3 linked regions of the Pelodiscus sinensis genome follow. The protein of the gene in region 1 purifies or fractionates together with the protein of each later gene. This does not show direct contact. Links are inferred from orthologs where the notes say so. Each region holds a gene or a part of one and is shown in the gene's direction. Other genes may lie near its edges.

Region 1 (7,116 bases):
TCCATCCCCTCCTCCAGGTCATTAATGAAGATGTTGAACAAAACTGGTCCAAGAACAGATCCTTGGGGTACTTTGCTAGCAACCGACCGCCAACCTAACCCCGAGTCGTTTATCACCACCCATTGGGCCAGACAGTCTAGCCAGCTTTCTATCCATCTTACAGTCCTTTTATTCAATCCATTCTCCCTTAATTTGCTGGCAAGAATATTGTGGGAGACTATATCAGGAGCTTTGCTAAAGTCAAGATATATCACATCCACTGACTTTACCATGTCCACAGAGCCAGTTACCTCATCATAGAGGCTAATCAGATTGGTCAGATACGACTTGCCCTTCGTGAATCCATGCTGACTATTCCTGATCACTTTCCCCTCTTCCAAGTGCTTCAAAATGGATTCCTTGAGGATCCCCTCCATAATTTTTCCGGGGACCAAGGTGAGGCTGACTGGTCTGTAGTTCCCTGGATTGTCCTTCCCTTTTTTAAAGATGGGCACTACATTTGCCTTTTTCCAGTCATCCGGGATCTCTCCCGATCTCCACGAGTTTTCAAAGCTAATGGCCAAAGGCTCTGCAATTACATTTGCCAACTCCCTCAGTACCCTCGGGTGCATTAAATCCGGGCCCATGGATGTGTGCACGTTTAGCTTTTCTAAATCGTTCCTAACTTGTTCCTTCCCCACCAAGGGCTGCCCACCTCCTTTCCATACTGCGTTGCCTAGTGCATTTGTCTGGGAGCTGACCTTGGGTCCCTGGGCACCTGTGAATGACACGGCACCACTTGCCCTGCCCCACGCCAGGCCCGAGAACTCAGCTGGCTCCCAATCAGCAATTCCATCTCCGCAGCCCGGGATGGGGTTTAAACACCCCGCAGCTGCCCAGGCTAGGCCTCCGGGGCTTCTTGTCCTGCAGAAAGCAGCTGGGAAAAGCTCCCCCTTCTATTTCGGCCTTTCTCAGAGGGCTTGGGATCTCACCCGCACTCAGCGCCCATTGTGCCAGGCGCCCTGCATGTGCTACTGGGCCTGATAAGCTCACCCTGCCGCTGGCAGGACATTACCGACGGGTAAGCGGATTCATGGAGCTGTGAAGGGCCAGACTGTCCCGTGAGCCCAGGTCCTGGGGGCCAGGCTGAAAAGCTGCCCCCAGCTACAGGCCCGAGAATGTGGGAAACTGGCTATAAAGCAGCCAGCTGCTGAGAGTCTTTGGCCAAGCTTGGACAAGGGAGCTCCTGCGACAAAAGAGCCCCCCTGCTCCTGGGGCAGGCACAATATCTGGCCTGTAGACAAAAGGCCCGTGGCACGCAGGGTCTCCTGGGGCGGGGGAGCTTTGCCTATGCCATGCTGCAGGATTTCAGGCAAGCTGAGTTAGGGGTTCAGCGGAGACAAGCGTTACCCCCCCCCATCTGCCCCAGGGGGATTTTTGGCACCTTCCTCTGGAAGTGAAACGTGATCCTGGTCGTGGGGGGCTGTGGGGAATGGAACTACACCTGGGTTTAAAACGAAGCTTGGATTTGAGGGCTACGTCGGCCACTGTGACAGGAAGGCTAAACCTGTGCCAGGCATTACTGCTGCACCGATAGGTCCAGTCATGGGCCTGGACCCTACAGTGCTAGGTACTGTACAAACAAAGGGGAACGATCTAAGCCTAAGACATGAGCCCTTAGCTGGACACAGGCAGCCTATCGGGGCAGCAGGAGAACCCTTGGGCCCACAGTGCTCAGCAAAGACCCGGCCCAGCAGGTTTCCTAGCACAGGTGGGTTTTAAAGTGGGACTAGAAGGTGGCAGCTTTGCAGGTATTCGGGGAGCTCCCCCCTGCCCGGCCAGTTCAGGCCCCACACCCGCTCCCCCAAGCTCTCAGAGGCTGGCCGGGCGTCTGAGCTAGACGCCAGGGCAAGGCCACGGGAGATCGGGGTTCACATTCCTGACCCTGCTGCAGGGTGGCTGCATGCTCTGCTCTCTGCCTGGGAGGCCAGAATGGGGCTTGCCCGAAGCAATGGGAACAAAGGGCCAACCCTTGATCCTGTTGCAAGAGGGGTGGGGGTCTTGCTAGGACCTGGCCTCTATGCTCTGCCTCATCCCAAAGCGCCCTGGGGTGGTCCCCGGCAAAGAGGGGCTTGCTTCCCTGGAGAGCCCCATACTCTGCCAGTCTCCCCTGCCCCCTGCTGCTTTTCTACCCACTGACCTGCAAAGCAAATCCACCTTTCTAGCCAACTCCCTGGCAAGTCAGGTATCCCCCAGCTGCTACACCCAGAGCAAATCAAGTTGTGCTAGCAAGTTCTGCTAACGCCCCTCCCCCATTCCTCCAGCCAGCTGTGTCCCCTGCCCCACAGATAGTACTGCTGTGCCCCCCACGAGTTTTGCAATAGCAGATCACATACCCCACACACACATACAGATGAATCCCTGCCCTCCTCTGGCATCCCCCCATCCAGCTGTGTCCTTCCTACCAGCTCTGCAGCCCCCCCTCCCACAACCCACATGTGCCCCCTACTAGCTCTGCATCCCATACCCAGCCCAGATGTACCCCAAATGCCTTTGCACCCCCCCACGCAGCCTAAATACACCCCAGCTAGCTCTGCACCCTTCACCCAGCTTAGATGCACCCCAGGCAGCTCTGCACCCCCCAGCCAGCTCTGCACCCCCTAAGCAGCCTAGGTGCACCCCAAGCAGCTCTGCATGCCCCCAGCATAGCCCTCTGTAGCAGAGGGCCACCAGCTCTGGAATCCCCCAGTTCAGGGATTGCCACCTGTATTCTACACCCCCCAGGTCAGATGTGCGCCCCCCTCCCCGCAGCACTGCCCCCTCCTGTCTGCCGGCAAATGCAAACACAACATACTCACCCCCACAGCCCTGCCTGTGCCTAAAGCGCCCGCCCTCTCCCCAAGTGTTTTTTTAAAAGGTGGGTTTAACGCCTGGGCCTTCCCCACAAAAACGAGTCGCCGTCACGAACAGGATTCGAACCTGTGCGGGGAAACCCCATTGGATTTCGAGTCCAACGCCTTAACCACTCGGCCACCGTGACACCCGGCCAGGGCTTCGCCGAGCTCCGGCTAGAAGATCCACATAGGAGAGGGGCGGGGGGGGGAGCAACAGAATCTTCCTCCCCCCACGCGTGCTGCAGACCCCCGAGTGCCCCCCAACCCCATCGTGACCCCCTGCTCCCCTCCACCACAGGGCCGGGCCCGCCCCTCCTGGCCACGGCTTTCCCAGTGCGCCCCACGGCCTCTCCCCGCCTATCCCCAGAGCTCCCCGCTGCTCCCATCCTGAGACCCCCCCATCTCCCTATGCCCCACAGCCCCCACCCCACAGCCCCCTCCCCGAACCTCTATAGCCTCCTCTGTCCCCCCATTCTGCCATCCCCATAGCCCCCTGTGCCCCACAGCCCCCTCCCCCCCGGCATCCCCACAGCTTCCTCTGCCCCCTCCCCACGGGACCCCCCAGTCCCAGCGATACCCATATAGCCCCACAGCCGCCCCCTCCGCCATGGCACCCCAGCCCCTCCCCACGGGACCCCCAGCCCCCTCTTCTCCCCTCGAAACCTCCAGCCCCCGCCCCACGGAACCCCCCCCCCCAACCCCAGCGATCCCCACAGCCCCTCCCCCCCCGGACTTCCTCTCAGCCCGGGAGCAATTTTCATAGCCCCCCCCACCGCCTCCCCCCATGCACCCCCCCACCCCAGAGATCCCCCCCATAGCCCCACAACCCGCCCCCCCCATCGCCCCGGCGCTGCGCGACGGGAAGATGGCGGCGGCTGGCCGGCAGGGGGCGCCGCGCGGCGGGAAGATGGCGGCGGGCGGCCGGCAGGGGGCGCCGCGCGGCGGGAAGATGGCGGCGCGGGGCGGCCGGCGGCCGGCAGGGGGCGCCGCGCGGCGGGAAGATGGCGGCGCGGGGCGGCGGGCGGCCGGCAGGGGGCGCTGCGCGGCGGGAAGATGGCGGCGCGGGGCGGCCGGCGGCCGGCAGGGGGCGCTGCGCGGCGGGAAGATGGCGGCGCGGGGCGGCGGGCGGCCGGCAGGGGGCGCTGCGCGGCGGGAAGATGGCGGCGCGGGGCGGCGGGCGGCCGGCAGGGGGCGCTGCGCGGCGGGAAGATGGCGGTGCGGAAGAAGGACGGCGGCCCCAACGTCAAGTACTACGAGGCCGCGGACACGGTGGGGCAGTTCGACAGCGCGCGGCTCTGGCTGGGCAAGAACTACAAGAAGGTACCGGCCCGGCCGGCCCCCCCGCCCTGCGCCTCGCCCCCCACGGGCCCCCGCTCCTCGGGCCCCTCCCCCCGCCCCTTCTGCCCCCCCAATCGCCGCACCCCACTGACAGGCGTCAGCCCGCCTCGAGCCCCCTGGGTCACCCACATCTCACCCGCCCCCGTGCCCCCCCGTGCCCCTCCGTGCGCCTGTCCTCCCCACCGACCCCCGTTTCCCCCAGTGTCTGCCCCCCCCAGTGTCTGTCCCCCCCCCCGTGCCTGTCCTCCCCACCGACCCCCTCCCCCGTGCCCCACCAGTGTCTGTCCTCCCCCCTGACCCCCTCCCCCGTGCCCCACCAGTGTCTGTCCTCCCCCCTGACCCCCTCCCCCGTGCCCCACCAGTGTCTGTCCTCCCCCCTGACCCCCTCCCCCGTGCCCCACCAGTGTCTGTCCTCCCCCCTGACCCCCTCCCCCGTGCCCCACCAGTGTCTGTCCTCCCCACTGACCCCCTCCCCCGTGCCCCACCAGTGTCTGTCCTCCCCCCTGACCCCCTCCCCCGTGCCCCACCAGTGTCTGTCCTCCCCCCTGACCCCCTCCCCCGTGCCCCACCAGTGTCTGTCCTCCCCCCTGACCCCCTCCCCCGTGCCCCACCAGTGTCTGTCCTCCCCACTGACACTCCCCCCTCATGTTCCACTGGTGCCTGTCCTAACCACTGACTTCAGTTCTCTATGCCCCACTGGTGCCTGCCCTCTCCATTGACCCCCATCCTCTGTGCCCCACTGGCACCTGTGCTCCATACTGACCCACATCCCCCGTGCCCCATCCTCCCTGCTGATCCCCAGCCTCACTGGCAGCTCACAACCCCCGCCTCCACTGAATTCCCTCAGCCCCTTCCCATCTCCTCAGGGCCCCCGTTCCCCTATGCAGTCCCTTCCCTGCTCCTCCATTACAGCCTCTTTCCCCTCCTTGCCTGAACCCCTCGTTCACCCCCAGCGACCCTCCTGTTCCGCCTTCCAGCGCCTTAATTCCCTTCCAATCACCTACCCCTGTCTCAGCACCTCATTGAATTCCCCCTCTACTCCCCCCAGCTCCGCAGAGGCCTTACAGTGCATGGGGCTGATCTGATTTGTACAGGAAGGGGGAGGGGGGTTGTTCCCCACCTAACCACATCTGTCCTGGGGAAGGTGCCCCCTTAACACTCTCTTGGGTCCCCCATCTCACCCACCGTGGCTGGGAGCCGTGTCCCTTCCTGGTGTGCGGAGATGCGAGCCAGGCTCCCACTAGGAACTGCTCCATTTCCTATCCCCTCTCGGGGGGGCCCAGCCCCGCAGCTGATAACGTCGGTCTCCCCTCGGATCCTTGTCCATCTTTCACCCAAGTCCTTTTGCCTGCCTGTGCCGAGACAAAGGCCAGCCTGTGTGCGGGGAAAAGTGACCGAGCCAAGCCCCTATACTAGGGCTTGGGATCCCTCACTCCCGTGAAACCGTCACCAGATCTGGGCTGCGAGGAGTCTTTTCTTTGCAAGGGTAGCTTTAGGGTTACGATCATCCAGCCACCTGCTGCGCTGTCTCAGCATAGGGCGTGTGGGCGGGGTCCTGCGGGCCCCACCTGGCTCTTCCAACCCCCTCGCCTCCCCCTTGTGCTGTCATGCAAGCAGCATGGGTCTGTGGTTCCCAGGCTGTTGCCTTTGACCTTCCACAGGCAGCGAGAAGCTGAGTCACCAGACAGCTCCTGGCTCTGGAGTGACAGGCTGACCTGGCCATCCCTGCTCACTGGGAATTGGCCTTTTCACACCCTCGCAGGGTTGAACCACTGCCGGAAGCTGGGACTGGCGGACAGGGGATGGCTCGCTAGCTAATTGCCCTCTTCTGTTCATTCCCTCTGAAGCCCTGGCGACCGCCACTGTGAAAGACAGGCGGCTGGGCTGGAGAGGCCATTGGTCTGCCCCAGTGCGGCCGTTCCTACGTCCTTCACTCCCCTCCCCCTAACTATCTTCAGCTAAAGGCTCTGCCCCCATGTGCCAGGCTGCCTGCTGACTATCATCTCTGTGCCCACACCCATACCAATTGGGTGAAATACGCGTCACCTCCAGCAGAATCCTAGAGTTGGATGAGACCTCAGGCAGTCGTCCTCAAAGCAGGACCAACCGCAACTACATTGCCCTAGCCAGGGCTTTTGGCAAGCCGGGGCTTAAAACTTCTAAGGATAGAGATGCCGTCACCTCCCTAGGCAACCCATCCCAGCGCTTCCCACCCTACTAGGGAATTAGCTTTTCCTAATAACCAACCTCTACCTCCCCCACGGCAACCTGAGACCATTGCCCCTTGTTCTGTCATCTACAGATAGCTACATGGGGCATTTGCTTTGGGTTGCCTCAGAGTTTGAAACAAGCGCAGTTTATTGCTCTGGATTATTCCAGTGATGCTGGAGGGGGGGAACCAAACGCCATCAGGGCACCCTTGGGCTGGGTGCTGGACAGACACATGGCGAGAGACCGTCCTTCTCTCAGTCATCACAGGCAAGACAAAGTGTGGAAGGAGAAAGCGGCCCAGGGAAAGATGAAGAAGCCATTCCTTGGGGCAGAGGCGGGACCGTGGTCAGCCAAATTCCTGCCCCTTGCAATTCATGGTCCTCAGGGAAAGGCCTTTGTATGGAATGGCCGATATGATCTGCTTGTTTATTTCCTGGGAGTCTTGGTTCCCAGACAGACCCCAGGGCCAGGCCCCCAATGCTGCCTCTGTTTAAAAAGAGCTGCACTCAGTCTGACAAAAGGCACCCTTGGGGACAGAACATCCCAGCCAGCGATCCCCTCAGCCTCTCCCCACCTGCTGGGCCATCTAGCTTCAGCTGGGGCTCTGCCAGAGGGGCCCTGAGATTTCATAGGCCTCTTCTTTCTAGGGTTGGAGCGCCTTGCGCTTAGCCCCCCAATTCAAAGGGATGCAAGA
Region 2 (6,913 bases), on another chromosome or scaffold:
ATATTCATAGTAGTTATTTCGTAGAAAAAGGGAAAATAAACAATAATAATAAAATAATAATAATACAATGTTTATTTATTATAGTTGAGATCTGCATAACCAATCAATTAATACATATATATATATATATAATTATAAAATATCACCATGTCATGTACTATTAGGTAATCGTTTTTAATTGTACTTTGCACACTTTTTATGAGGCAAACCCATCAATAATTGTGTTGTAATTAATATTATTCGCTACCTCGTGTTCTATTGATAAAATGGGACATATTTGATAATCTCTCCTGACCTGTGGATGCTTGAAGGTAGTTCTTAATTAATTTTAGTTTACTAAAACTTCTTTCAGAAGAAGCCATAGTCACTGGCAAGCAGAGAAATATTTGCAGGGCGATTTCAAAATTTGGATAAGATTCGGCCAGACTATATTCATAAATTAACTGTAGAAGGTCCAAACTAGTTGCAGATGAAATGTTTGGCAACAGCGCTAATGCCTGATGTTTAAAACTCTGAATCTCTGACAAAATTTCCGAGGCATTCAAATCGCTGCCATATTTAAAACTTAAATCTGCTGCTTTTTGAAGATTAGTAGTATCCATTTTAACAAAAGAATCTCCTGATAAAAAAATTGAAATCCGAAGAGCTCTCATTTAGCGTTTCATATCTCCAGTTTTAATTCAAATATTATGCAGTTAAATATGCTTTTATTTGTATTTTGAATGATTCTTCAGCTGATAAATTAACACTTTCATCTTGTGACTCAAAGCTGTTGTCTTTTAACTTTTCACTTTCTGCATTCTGTAAATTCTGCTGATATTTCTATATTTTGGACCGTTTTTTTACAATCAGTAAAAATATCTTCCACATAGCTCTTGTTTCCATGGATCATCTTAGAAGCCTGACAAACAGAAATGCCTTTTGCTTGTAACGCTTTATTCATTCTGGCAATGTGAGTTAGAATATTATGCCAAATGGATAACTGCACAAAAACTCAAAATTAATTTTTTAAGAAAGTTATTAGCTGCTAAAACTGTTTCAGCACATTTAGATGAAGCAGCAACATCATTTAGGACCTTAGTAACTTCTGAAATCTGCAAATTTAAAGCTGCAATTGAATTTGCTTTTGATGCCCATCTAGTATCAGCATGACCTTTTAGTGATACTTTTAATAAACCCATTAAAATATTCCAGCGGGTGGTAGAATTAGAAATAAAAAGTGTTTATTTTTGTACAGTGCCAAAGAATGAAACCATAGAGGAATTTACAGAAGCTGCATGTACTCCAACGAAATTGAGACTGTGGGCCAAGCACGGTACACAATTTGCAAATTTATTTATTGCAGAATGACAGCTTTGATGCCTTTGTACATGCCTGACATATTTGCACCATTATTGTACCCTTGGCCTCATGCGTTTTGAAGATCAATTCCATTCTTTTCAAACGTCTTTACTATTTCTTTGGCTAATCCACTTCCTGTTTTTTCCTTGGTCTCAATAAAGTCTATGAAACTTTCTTCTATAGTTATGATTCTATCATCAATTTTCACAGCTCACAATCTGAGATATTTGATCACGATGAGGTATATCTGGTGTATAATCCAGAAGCATAGAATAATATTTTGCTTTTTTAAAATTTTGGATATAATTTCAATTCGAACTTGGTTTGCTATTAACCCAATACAGCCGGTCCCCGAGTTACGAACGGTCGATTTATGACCGTTAGCACTTATGACCAAACCTCCCATTAAGCGGTCGTAAAGGTGGTTCCCGAGTTACGAACGCAACCCACGCTTATGAACAGCGCAGTCGCATGTAACTTAATGGGTCCGACTTATGAACACTTCGAGTTACGGCCACGTGTTTGGTTTGTAACTCAGGACCAGGTGTAAACTCATTTTGGATAGCCAGTGAAAAAGAGCTCACCGAACCTTTTTGTGAGTTACAATATGTTGTTTTAGTTCAACATCATAATGACTTATAAATTCCATTAGATTAAGAAATATTCCCGAATTAGGGTTTCCTATAACACTACTCAATCCTCTAAGTGGAAGATTATTTTTGGCACAAAAAATCTAGAATTATTTTCACGATATGTCTCCATTTTTGCTTATCAGCTTCAATAGCTTTTTTGTAGTGCATCATCAATATATTCTCTACTCAATCTTTTTCGCATGGATTTCCATTTACAGAAATTTTCATGACGAATGCTTGAATTTTCATGCTCTACAATACGGTTTAAATTTTTCAAAGCATTAAATCTGCTGGTTTTCTGATTTGCAATATTCAGTTTGGAAAAACGCTGATCAAATAATATGCATGGAAAACAAAAAAATGGCCTTACTAGTTTCAGAATAAATAAGCCAATTGCGCTCTAAAATTCTTCATTATAAAGCACTTTTTAAAACCAATCACCTGAAAATTTTTGGCCCTCTGATGATACTGATTCATGAAAATCCATGGTTTCTCTCTCGCCAGGTGCTTGTTCAATAAGATGGCATCTTATTTTGTCATTTATAGAGAGCCAAGATGGTGGATTGTTAAAATTTATTTATATTACAGTTGAATCTTGTTGATAGTCCTGGTCATTGTTAATGTCAATAATCATAATTGGTGACAAAGTTGAGACCTTGAGATTGAGCTTTTGGTCAATCTCAGAGTCAGAGATTGATGCTGAAGCTGTAATGTCAAGTTCCAGTTGCTGGTCTGTGGTAATAATCAGTACTGAAGTTGTATGATCATTGTCATCCGAGGGTTCAGCTAATGGTGCATTTTCAGTATTCAGTGCATTTTCCACTAGCCATTTCCCCATTTCTCTCAACATCTTTTCATTTTTCTCTCATGGTGAATTTTTGTCATTTAAGAAACTCTGCCCCAGAAGGTCATTTCCATTTGGAATTCATAATGTAGGATCTTTTTCTGAGTGGCCTAAATTCCGGCCTTGTTACGGCTCAGATGCAAAGCATATTTTACTACACCACCACTCAAGGGAGAGATGAGACACTCCCCTGCCCCACACCAACCAGAAGCAGAGCGACTCTGCTGGCGCTGGGATTGCAGGTTTGTGTCACTCCCCTTCCCCTACCTCCACCACCAGCTGCTAGTCAGTGCAGAGGCCTGGACCCCTGCAACGGTGCCCGACCACCTACTAGTCCCCCAAACCACATCACTGGGGCGGGCGGGAGAGGTGGGACAGGGTCCAGGGCAGGAAAGGGAAGAGGCTCAGAGATGTTATCCCGTCCCCCTCCTTCAGCAGTCTCCCCGGCACCTTAGTCGCTGGGGAATAGGGAGGTTAAGAACCTATAGACAACAACATTGCAAGTGCAGACTTTCCCCCTCCAGCCCCAGAAGCGACACCAACGTGAGTGCACGACTCCTGAGCAAGTCAGTTCCCAAATAAAACCACCTGTCCCTGCGCAAGTTGCAGCAGCTCCCGCCCGGACCCTTTAGAGGGGCCAGGCTCCTGCCCCAGCGGAGGGGATGGAACGTTCCCGGGGCCGGGACGCAGCAGCACGCGCTCCCAATAAGTCTCCTGCCCTCACTGCAACTTGCACAAGCCCCGCCCCGGGTCGCTCAGCCCAGGAACGTAATGACTAGGCGCAACCAAGACTGGGCGCGGGGGAGGAGGGGAAACGAGCCACTTTCTCCTGTAAAGTGAGCACTTCCAGCTCCCCCAACTCCCGGCCGTACCACTTGCAGCCTGTCTCAGGCTGAGAGCTCTGGGTAGGAGTGTACCATATTAGCAGGGGGGGCGGAATGCGCAACGAAAAGGACGCGCTTAAAGCAGGCAAGCGGCTGCTTCCTGTCAACGAAGCTGCTGCTCGCTAGGGGGAACGGGAGGGTCCCAGTTGTCGCTGGGGTTGCCACATGCGGTCGGAAGGCGGAGGGCAGTGGCAGCGAGGCTTGCACCCCCTCTTCTCGATCGGGATGGGCTGGCCCTGCGAGCCGTCACGCCCCCTCCCTCTCGCGGCGGTGAATGTTCTTCCCTGATCGCAGCCTCCTCCCGTCGCTGCTTGGCGCGCGGCCGGGGCGCTGGACCCTCGTGCGCGCAGGGAGCCGACATGTCGGTGGCGTTCGCGGCCCCGAGGCAGCGGGGCAAGGGCGAGATCACGCCGGCCGCCATCCAGAAGGTGAGGGAGGGGCCGGGCCCGACACGGGGCTGCTTCCGGCCCGGCCAGGGGGCGGCGACTGGCGGGGGCTGGAAACACGCCGGGGCAGGGCTGTGGCGCTAGGGGCGGAGGGCCCCCTGGGGAGGCAGGAGTGCGGGGGGGGGGCTGCGGAGGGGCCCCTGGGGAGGCAGGAGTGCGGGGGGGGGGGGGGGAATCTTCCCCAGGTGTGCAGAAGAGCCCTGGGCGCCTCCAAAGCGTCTCTCTTTCACCCACCCAAGTTGGTTCAATAGAATATTTTAAACACCATCTCCCCCCCCCCCACCATACACACACACACACACACACACTGCCCGCTCCACACCGTGTCTCTTAATTGGGGTAACGGGTCAGGCCAATAACTACCCCAGAGGTGTGTATTGGTTAACTGTCATATCTCACCTTTTGGGATGAACAGGCTTTTATCACTTCGGTCTTTGTCCAGTGCTTATTGGTGAGGTTAGACAAAACTACAGCGTCTCAATTTAGTTTTATTGATCCCTTTAAAAAAAAAAATCTTGCCTAGTAAGGAGGAGAGGTGGTTTGAGCAGAGCCTTGAGACTTAGGGTGCCCCTTAAGATTGTGATGGGCAAATACTGGCCCACAGGCTAGACTTGATCTGCCATAGTTAGCCTCCGATGATCGCTTTTCCCATCGGCTGTGAATCACTTCTTCCTGGCCACTGGGAAGGGTGGGTAAAGGTGTGGCCTGGACACTGCTTCCCACATCTCCCATTGGCCGGAACAGCAATCTTCAGCCAGCAGGAGCTGTGATTGCCAGTGCCTCTGGAGACACAGGTAAATATAGCGGAGGAAGCCTGTCAGGGTATAACCCACACTGTTTTATTGCTCACCCCTGCTCTAGGTGCTATTATAGGCACTGCTGATATCTTGGTATGTGCTTCTGTGATTAAAGAAAATCACCTCACTGTTTACCCCTTTCTCTAGAGCATTTATAAATAAGTTGGATAGAATTAGTCCCTGGACAGACCCTTGGGGGACCCCACTAGTTGCCTCTCTCCACTCAACATTTACCATTTATTGCTACCTTTAGTTTCCTTTTAACCAGTTATCAGTCCATGAAAGTACTTTCCCTCTAAGAATACTATATCCACTGCATCCCTCTTGTCCACATGCTTGTTGACACCACTCAGAGAACTCTAGTAGATTAGTTAAGGCATGATTTCCCTTTACAGAAACCATGTTGTCTTTCCTTCAACAAATTATGTTCATTTATGTGTCTGACAATTTTAGTTTCAACTAATTTGCCCGGTACTGACATTAGACTTACCAGTCTGTAATTTCCAGGATCATTTCTAGAGCCCTTTTAAAATATTGGTGTCACGTTAGCTATCTTCCAGTCACTAGGTACAGAAGCCGATTTAAAAGATAAATTACAAACCACAGTTAATAGTTACGTACTTTCACATTTGAGTTCTGAAAGAACTCTTGGGTGAATGCCATCTGGTCCCAGTGACTTGTTACTGTTAAGTTTATCGATTTGTTCCAAAACCTCCTCTGGGACAATTACTCAGATTTGTCACTTAAAAAGAATGACTCAAGTTTTGGGAATCTAAGACCGAAGCAAAGAATTCATTTAGTTTTTCCACAATTACCTTATCTTTGAGTGCTTCTTTGGCATCTCCATTGTCCAGAGGCCCCACTGGTTGTTTAGCAAGCTTCTTGCTTCTGATGTACTTAAACATTTTGCTATTACTGTTTGATTTTTTTTGACTAGCTGTTCTTCAAACTCCTTTTTGACTACTTATATTTTTTACACTTAATTTGACAGAGTTTATGCTCCTTTCTATTTTCCTCACTAGGATTTAACTTCCACTTTTTAAAACATTGCCTTTTTATCTCTTACTGCTTCTTGGTTATGTCAAGTCATGGTGGCACTTTTTTTGTTTCTTTTACTGTTTTAAATTTTGGGTATACATTTAAGTTGGGACTCTATTATGGTGTCTTTGAAAAGTTTCCATTCAGCTTGCAGGGATTTTACTTTTGTCACTGTACCGTTCAATTTCTGTTTAACTAACCTCCTCATTTTTGTTCCCATTTATGAAATTAAATGCCATAGTGTTGGACTGCTGAGGCATTTTGCCCACCACAGGGATGTTAAATTTTATTACATTATGGTCACTATTTCCAAGTGGTCCAGTTATATATACCTCTTGGACCATATGCTGTGCTCCACTTTTGACTAAATCAAGATTTGTCTCTTCCCCTTGTGTATTCCAGAACCAGCTGCTCCAAGAAGCAGTCATTTAAGGGATCAAGAAATTTTATCTCTGCATCCCATCCTGAGGTGCCGTGTAATCAGTCAATATGGGGATAGGTGAAATCCCCTACTATACTGAGTTTTTTATTTTGATAGCCTCTCTAATCTCCCTTAGCATATCATAGTCACTATCACTGTCCTGATCAGGTGGTCAATAATATATCATTACTGCTATATTCTTATTATTGGAGCATGGAATTACTACCCATAAAAATTCTATGGAATATTTTGGCTCATTTCAGATTTTTACTTCACTTGATTCTACATTTTCTTTCACGTATAGTGCCACTCCGCCATGAGCATGACCTGTTCTGTCCTTCTGATGTATTTTGTACCCTGATATGACTGTCCCCCATTGATTACTTTCATTCCACCAAGTTTGTGATGCCTATTATATCAATATCCTCCTTTAATACGAGGCACCCTAGTTCACCCATCTTAATATTTAGACTTCTAATGCTGATAATCACTAAGTCCTTAATGGTCTCA
Region 3 (6,939 bases), on another chromosome or scaffold:
CCCGGCCCTCCACCCCCATATTCCCATTAGTCAGCTTTGGAGAGAGATGGTGGGGCCTAGTGGTTAGAGTGGGGGAGGCTGGGAGCCAGGAGTGCAGCGCTCCAGCCCAGCTTTGGGAGGGAAGCGGGGTGCAGTGGTTAGAGGGGTGGCTGGGAGCAGGGGTAACACCTCGGACCCTCCCTATGTGACCCAGCTCTGCGGAAATCCACAGACCCCCCCACCCGTCAGCAGGGGGCTTCTGGGCTTTCCTAAGCCTCTCTACGTGCAAAGACAGGAGGCAGCGAGGTACAGGGTCCACCGAGCTGCAGGTACACACCCCCAGCTGCGCCCCCAGCCCTGCCGGTGCCCCTCATTCCCGCCTCCCAGCCCTGCCGGCGCCCCTCACTCCCGCCCCCCAGCCCTGCCCCCAGCCCTGCCGGTGCCCCTCACTCCCACCCCCCAGCCCAGCCGGTGCCCCTCACTCCCACCCCACAGCCCCCACAAGCCCAGCCCTGCCCCTCACTCCCGCCCCCCAGCCCTGCCGGCGCTCCTCACTCCCGCCCCACAGCCCCCACAAGCCCAGCCCTGCCCCTCACTCCCACCCCCCAGCCCCCGCCAGCCCAGTCCTGCCCCTCACTCCCACCCCCCAGCCCCCGCCAGCCCAGTCCTGCCCCTCACTTCCACCCCCCAGCCCCCGCCAGCCCAGTCCTGCCCCTCACTCCCACCCCCCAGCCCCTGCCAGCCCAGTCCTGCCCCTCACTCCCACCCCCCAACCCCCGCCAGCCCAGCCCTGCCCCTCACTCCCGCCCCCCAGCCCCCGCCAGCCCAGTCCTGCCCCTCACTCCCGCCCCCCAGCCCCCGCCAGCCCAGTCCTGCCCCTCACTCTCGCCCCCCAGCCCCCGCCAGCCCAGTCCTGCCCCTCACTCCCGCCCCCCAGCCCCCGCCAGCCCTGCCCTGCCACTCACTCCTGCCCTCCAGCCCCCGCCAGCCCTGCCAGTGCCCCTCACTCCTGCCCCCCAGCCCCCACCAGCCCAGTCCTGTCCCTCACTCCCGGCCCCCCAGCCCTGCCCCTCACTCCTGCCCCCAGCCCAGTCCTGCCCCTCACTCCCACCCCGCAGCCCCTGCCAGCCCAGCCCCCCCCTCGTTTCCCTCACTCCAGACCTATAGCCCCCCCCCCCGCAGCAGGTTCCTGCCCGTGGGCGGCTGAGGTAATGGTGACCCCCCCAGCCTGCTCCAGGGTGAGTCACCCCAGCACAATGAGCTCAGTGTCTAACCCCAGGCCCCTCCATTGTAATCCCTGCTGAGCTACTGCCAGGATTAAAGGGGGGGGAAGGGGTAGGAGCCGGGACTCCTGGGTTCTGGGTCTAGGAATTGCAGCAAGGTGGGGAGGCCGGATATCCGGGCTCTCCCCTGACTGGGGGGGTCCTGTGGTGGGGGACAGGACACCAGGGCTCTCTCCTGACTGGGCAGGGATCTAGTGGGGGGGCGGGGAGGCAGTACACCTGGGTTCTTCTCTGGCTGGGGGCAGGATCTAGTGGGTGGGGGGTGGGAGGCGGGACACCTGGGTTCCTTGCTGGCGGGGGGGGGGATATAGTGGGGGGGAGGCCAGACACCCGGGTTCCTCGCTGGTGGGGGGGAAATAGTGGGGGGGAGGCCGAACAACCAGGTTCCTCGCTGGTGGGGGGGGATATAGTGGGGGGGGGGAAGGCTGGACACCCGGGTTCCTCGCTGGTGGGGGGGGATATAGTGGGGGGGGGGAAGGCTGGACACCCGGGTTCCTCGCTGGTGGGGGGGGATATAGTGGGGGGGGGGAAGGCTGGACACCCGGGTTCCTCGCTGGCGGGGGAGGGATATAGTGGGGGGGAGGGATATAGTGGGGGGGGAGGCTGGACACCCGGGTTCCTCGCTGGCGGGGGAGGGATATAGTGGGGGGGGGGGGAGTCGGACACCCGGGTTCTTCGCTGGTGTAGGGGATATGGGGGGGGCAGACATCCTCTTCCTCGCTGGCGGGGGGATATAGTGGGGGGGAGGCCAGACACCCGGGTTCCTCGCTGGCGGGGGGATATAGTGGGGGGGAGGCCAGACACCCGGGTTCCTCGCTGGCGGGGGAGGGATATAGTGGGGGGGGAGGGATATAGTGGGGGGGGGAGGCTGGACACCCGGGTTCCTCGCTGGCGGGGGGGGAGGGATATAGTGGGGGGGGGAGGCTGGACACCCGGGTTCCTCGCTGGCGGGGGAGGGATATAGTGGGGGGGGGGGGAGTCGGACACCCGGGTTCTTCGCTGGTGTAGGGGATATGGGGGGGGCAGACATCCTCTTCCTCGCTGGCGGGGGGATATAGTGGGGGGGAGGCCAGACACCCGGGTTCCTCGCTGGCGGGGGGGGATATAGTGGGGGGGGTGTCGGTCACCCGGGTTCCTCGCTGGCGGGGGGGGGGGAAATATAGTGGGGGGGGGTGTCGGTCACCCGGGTTCCTCGCTGGCGGGGGGGGGATATAGTGGGGGGGGTGTCGGTCACCCGGGTTCCTCGCTGGCGGGGGGGGGATATAGTGGGGGGGGGTGTCGGTCACCCGGGTTCCTCGCTGGCGGGGGGGGTGTCGGTCACCCGGGTTCCTCGCTGGCGGGGGGGGATATAGTGGGGGGAGGCCGAACACCCGGGTTCCTCGCTGGCGGGGGGGGGGATATAGTGGGGGGAGGCCGAACACCCGGGTTCCTCGCTGGCGGGGGGGGGGATATAGTGGGGGGAGGCCGAACACCCGGGTTCCTCGCTGGCGGGGGGGGATATAGTGGGGGGAGGCCGAACACCCGGGTTCCTCGCTGGCGGGGAGGGGGATATAGTGGGGGGAGGCCGAACACCCGGGTTCCTCGCTGGCGGGGGGGGGGGGATATAGTGGGGGGAGGCCGAACACCCGGGTTCCTCGCTGGCGGGGGCGGATATAGTGGGGGGGGCCGAACACCCGGGTTCCTCGCTGGCGGGGGGGGGATATAGTGGGGGGGAGGCCGAACACCCGGGTTCCTCGCTGGCGGGGGGGGGGGATATAGTGGGGGGAGGCCGAACACCCGGGTTCCTCGCTGGCGGGAGGGATATAGTGGGGGGGGGGCCGAACACCCGGGTTCCTCGCTGGCGGGGGGGATATAGTGGGGGGAGGCCGAACACCCGGGTTCCTCGCTGGCGGGGGCGGATATAGTGGGGGGGGCCGAACACCCGGGTTCCTCGCTGGCGGGAGGGATATAGTGGGGGGGGGGCCGAACACCCGGGTTCCTCGCTGGCGGGGGGGATATAGTGGGGGGGAGGCCGAACACCCGGGTTCCTCGCTGGCGGGAGGGATATAGTGGGGGGGGGGGCCGAACACCCGGGTTCCTCGCTGGCGGGGGGGATATAGTGGGGGGGAGGCCGAACACCCGGGTTCCTCGCTGGCGGGGGGGGATATAGTGGGGGGGAGGCCGAACACCCGGGTTCCTCGCTGGCGGGGGGGATATAGTGGGGGGGAGGCCGAACACCCGGGTTCCTCGCTGGCGGGGGGGATATAGTGGGGGGGAGGCCGAACACCCGGGTTCCTCGCTGGCGGGGGGGATATAGTGGGGGGGGCCGAACACCCGGGTTCCTCGCTGGCGGGGGGGATATAGTGGGGGGAGGCCGAACACCCGGGTTCCTCGCTGGCGGGGGGGATATAGTGGGGGGGGCCGAACACCCGGGTTCCTCGCTGGCGGGGGGGATATAGTGGGGGGGGCCGAACACCCGGGTTCCTCGCTGGCGGGGGGGATATAGTGGGGGGAGGCCGAACACCCGGGTTCCTCGCTGCCGGGGGCGGATATAGTGGGGGGGGCCGAACACCCGGGTTCCTCGCTGGCGGGGGGGGGGGATATAGTGGGGGGGAGGCCGAACACCCGGGTTCCTCGCTGGCGGGGGGGAATATAGTGGGGGGGTCGGGGTTGTGGGGGGGCAGGGGGTGCGGGACCCAGCCCGGCTCGCGGGGGTGCGCGTGTCTCTTGCGGAGAAGCCGGAGTCCCGCCCCCCAGGCCCGCCCGGCCCCGGCTCTGCCCGCGGAAGCCCGAGTTCGCTTCCGCTCCGCCTCCCGCAGCGAGCTCGGTCGGCGCGGGGCGGTTCTGCGCGGAGCCAGGGCCAGCGAGCCGGACCCGCGCGCAGTGACCCGCCCGGCGCCCCGGGGTCCCGTCCCCATGGCCGGGCGCACCGTGCGGGCCGAGACCCGCAGCCGGGCCAAGGATGACATCAAGAAGGTGATGGCAGCCATCGAGAGAGTGCGCCGATGGTGAGCGGCAGGGTGTGCGGGAGACGGGCGGCCTTGTGTGCGGCTGTTCCCCCGGGTGCCCTGCCCCAGAGCTGGCTGCATCTCAGAGCCGGGTGAGCTAGCCCCATGCGGCGTTATGTGCGGCCGTTCCCCTGGGTGTCCTGCCCCAGAGCTGGCTGCATCTCAGGGCCGGGTGAGTCAGCCCCCACGGCGTTATGTGCGGCTGTTCCCCCGGGTGTCCTGCCCCAGAGCTGGCTGCATCTCAGAGCCGGGTGAGTCAGCCCCCGCGGCGTTATGTGCGGCCGTTCCCCTGGGTGTCCTGCCCCAGAGCTGGCTGCATCTCAGAGCCGGGTGAGCTAGCCCCACACGGCGTTATGTGCGGCTGTTCCCCCGGGTGTCCTGCCCCAGAGCTGGCTGCATCTCAGAGCCGGGTGAGCTAGCCCCACGCGGCGTTATGTGCGGCCGTTCCCTCGGGTGCCCTGCCCCAGAGCTGGCTGCATCTCAGGGCCGGGTGAGCTAGCCCCACACGGCGTTATGTGCGGCTGTTCCCCCGGATGCCCTGCCCCAGAGCTGGCTGCATCTCAGGGCCGGGTGAGCTAGCCCCACGCGGCGTTATGTGCGGCCGTTCCCCCGGGTGTCCTGCCCCAGAGCTGGCTGCATCTCAGAGCCGGGTGAGTCAGCCCCCGCGGCGTTATGTGCGGCTGTTCCCCCGGGTGCCCTGCCCCAGAGCTGGCTGCATCTCAGGGCCGGGTGAGTCAGCCCCCGCAGCGTTATGTGCGGCCGTTCCCCCGGGTGCCCTGCCCCAGAGCTGGCTGCATCTCAGGGCCGGGTGAGCTAGCCCCACGCGGCGTTATGTGCGGCCGTTCCCCCGGGTGTCCTGCCCCAGAGCTGGCTGCATCTCAGAGTCGGGTGAGTCAGCCCCCGCGGCGTTATGTGCGGCTGTTCCCCCGGGTGCCCTGCCCCAGAGCTGGCTGCATCTCAGGGCCGGGTGAGTCAGCCCCCACGGCGTTATGTGCGGCCGTTCCCCCGGGTGCCCTGCCCCAGAGCTGGCTGCATCTCAGGGCCGGGTGAGCTAGCCCCACGCGGCGTTATGTGCGGCCGTTCCCCCGGGTGTCCTGCCCCAGAGCTGGCTGCATCTCAGAGCCGGGTGAGTCAGCCCCCGCAGCGTTATGTGCGGCTGTTCCCCCGGGTGCCCTGCCCCAGAGCTGGCTGCATCTCAGGGCCGGGTGAGTCAGCCCCCACGGCGTTATGTGCGGCTGTTCCCCCGGGTGCCCTGCCCCAGAGCTGGCTGCATCTCAGGGCCGGGTGAGTCAGCCCCCGCGGGGTTATGTGCGGCTGTTCCCCCGGATGCCCTGCCCCAGAGCTGGCTGCATCTCAGAGCCGGGTGAGCTAGCCCCATGCGGCGTTATGTGCGGCTGTTCCCCCGGGTGTCCTGCCCCAGAGCTGGCTGCATCTCAGAGCCGGGTGAGCTAGCCCCACGCGGCGTTATGTGCGGCCGTTCCCTCGGGTGTCCTGTCCCAGAGCTGGCTGCATCTCAGGGCCAGGTGAGCTAGCCCCACGCGGCATTATGTGCAGCCGTTCCCCCGGGTGTCCTGTCCCAGAGCTGGCTGCATCTCAGGGCCGGGTGAGCTAGCCCCACACGGCGTTATGTGCGGCCGTTCCCCCGGGTGTCCTGCCCCAGAGCTGGCTGCATCTCAGAGCTGGGTGAGCTAGCCCCACACGGCGTTATGTGCGGCCGTTCCCCTGGGTGTCCTGCCCCAGAGCTGGCTGCATCTCAGGGCCGGGTGAGCTAGCCCCACGCGGCGTTATGTGCGGCCGTTCCCCCGGGTGTCCTGCCCCAGAGCTGGCTGCATCTCAGAGCCGGGTGAGCTAGCCCCATGCGGCGTTATGTGCGGCCGTTCCCCCGGGTGCCCTGCCCCAGAGCTGGCTGCATCTCAGAGCCGGGCGAGTCACCTCCACGCGGCCTTGTGTGTGGCTGTTCCCTCGGGTGCCCTGCCCCAGAGCTGGCTGCATCTCAGAGCCGGGCGAGTCAGCCCCACGCAGCGTTATGTGCGGCTGTTCCCCCAGGTACCCTGCCCCAGAGCTGGCTGCATCTCAGGGCTGGGTGAGCTAGCCCCACGTGGCGTTATGTGCGGCTGTTCCCCCAGGTACCCTGCCCCAGAGCTGGCTGCATCTCAGAGCCGGGTGAGTCAGCCCCACGCAGCGTTATGTGCGGCCGTTCCCCCAGCTGCCCTGCCCCAGAGCTGGCTTCATCTCAGTGCCAGGCGAGTCAGCCCCAGGTGGTGTTATGTGCGGCTGTTCCCCCAAGTGCCCCACCCCAGAACCAGATGCATCTCAGCGCTGGGCCAGCCAGCCCCATGCAGTCTCGCTGGGTGGCTTTCCCCATTTATCCTACCCCAGAGGTGGTGCCATCTTCTTTAAAGTAACTCCTGTGGCCAAATGCAGGAGCAGGCTCTTAATTATGGCAATTAGTTATTCGTCCATTATTTAATTATTGTGTGTATTGTTCACCTCCCTTTCTCTATGGAAATTGCTTCTGAGATGTGACTAGCTGTCAAGTTCTTTACTCTGGATAATATGTCAGACAGTCATCTGCTGGACAAGAGAAGATAACAACTTACTATTGCTGCTCTTTAAGGGAGTCTGTATTTTAACTTGGGGAGGATGCGATTGGAGGGTTTCCGCCCTCATGACAGACAAAAGATAACCTG

What was found.
Region 2: the proteins of SMARCC2 (region 1) and SS18 purify together in Homo sapiens (affinity purification with mass spectrometry; 3 studies listed by BioGRID and IntAct, counting the BioPlex papers as one, with this or other methods). This does not show direct contact. The link is inferred for Pelodiscus sinensis from reciprocal best matches to the Homo sapiens genes SMARCC2 and SS18.
Region 3: the proteins of SMARCC2 (region 1) and BCL7C purify together in Homo sapiens (affinity purification with mass spectrometry; 4 studies listed by BioGRID and IntAct, counting the BioPlex papers as one, with this or other methods). This does not show direct contact. The link is inferred for Pelodiscus sinensis from reciprocal best matches to the Homo sapiens genes SMARCC2 and BCL7C.

Annotation. Positions count from the first base shown.
Region 1 is NC_134729.1:4,054,854-4,061,969, forward strand, and holds the start of SMARCC2 (SWI/SNF complex subunit SMARCC2), read left to right. Parts: upstream 1-4,018; 5' UTR 4,019-4,082; coding exon 4,083-4,193; intron 4,194-7,116. UniProt on the Homo sapiens protein: Involved in transcriptional activation and repression of select genes by chromatin remodeling (alteration of DNA-nucleosome topology).
Region 2 is NC_134712.1:76,224,642-76,231,554, forward strand, and holds the start of SS18 (protein SSXT), read left to right. Parts: upstream 1-3,860; 5' UTR 3,861-4,060; coding exon 4,061-4,129; intron 4,130-6,913. UniProt on the Homo sapiens protein: Appears to function synergistically with RBM14 as a transcriptional coactivator. Isoform 1 and isoform 2 function in nuclear receptor coactivation. Isoform 1 and isoform 2 function in general transcriptional coactivation.
Region 3 is NC_134714.1:134,097,693-134,104,631, forward strand, and holds the start of BCL7C (B-cell CLL/lymphoma 7 protein family member C), read left to right. Parts: upstream 1-3,900; 5' UTR 3,901-4,157; coding exon 4,158-4,249; intron 4,250-6,939. UniProt on the Homo sapiens protein: May play an anti-apoptotic role.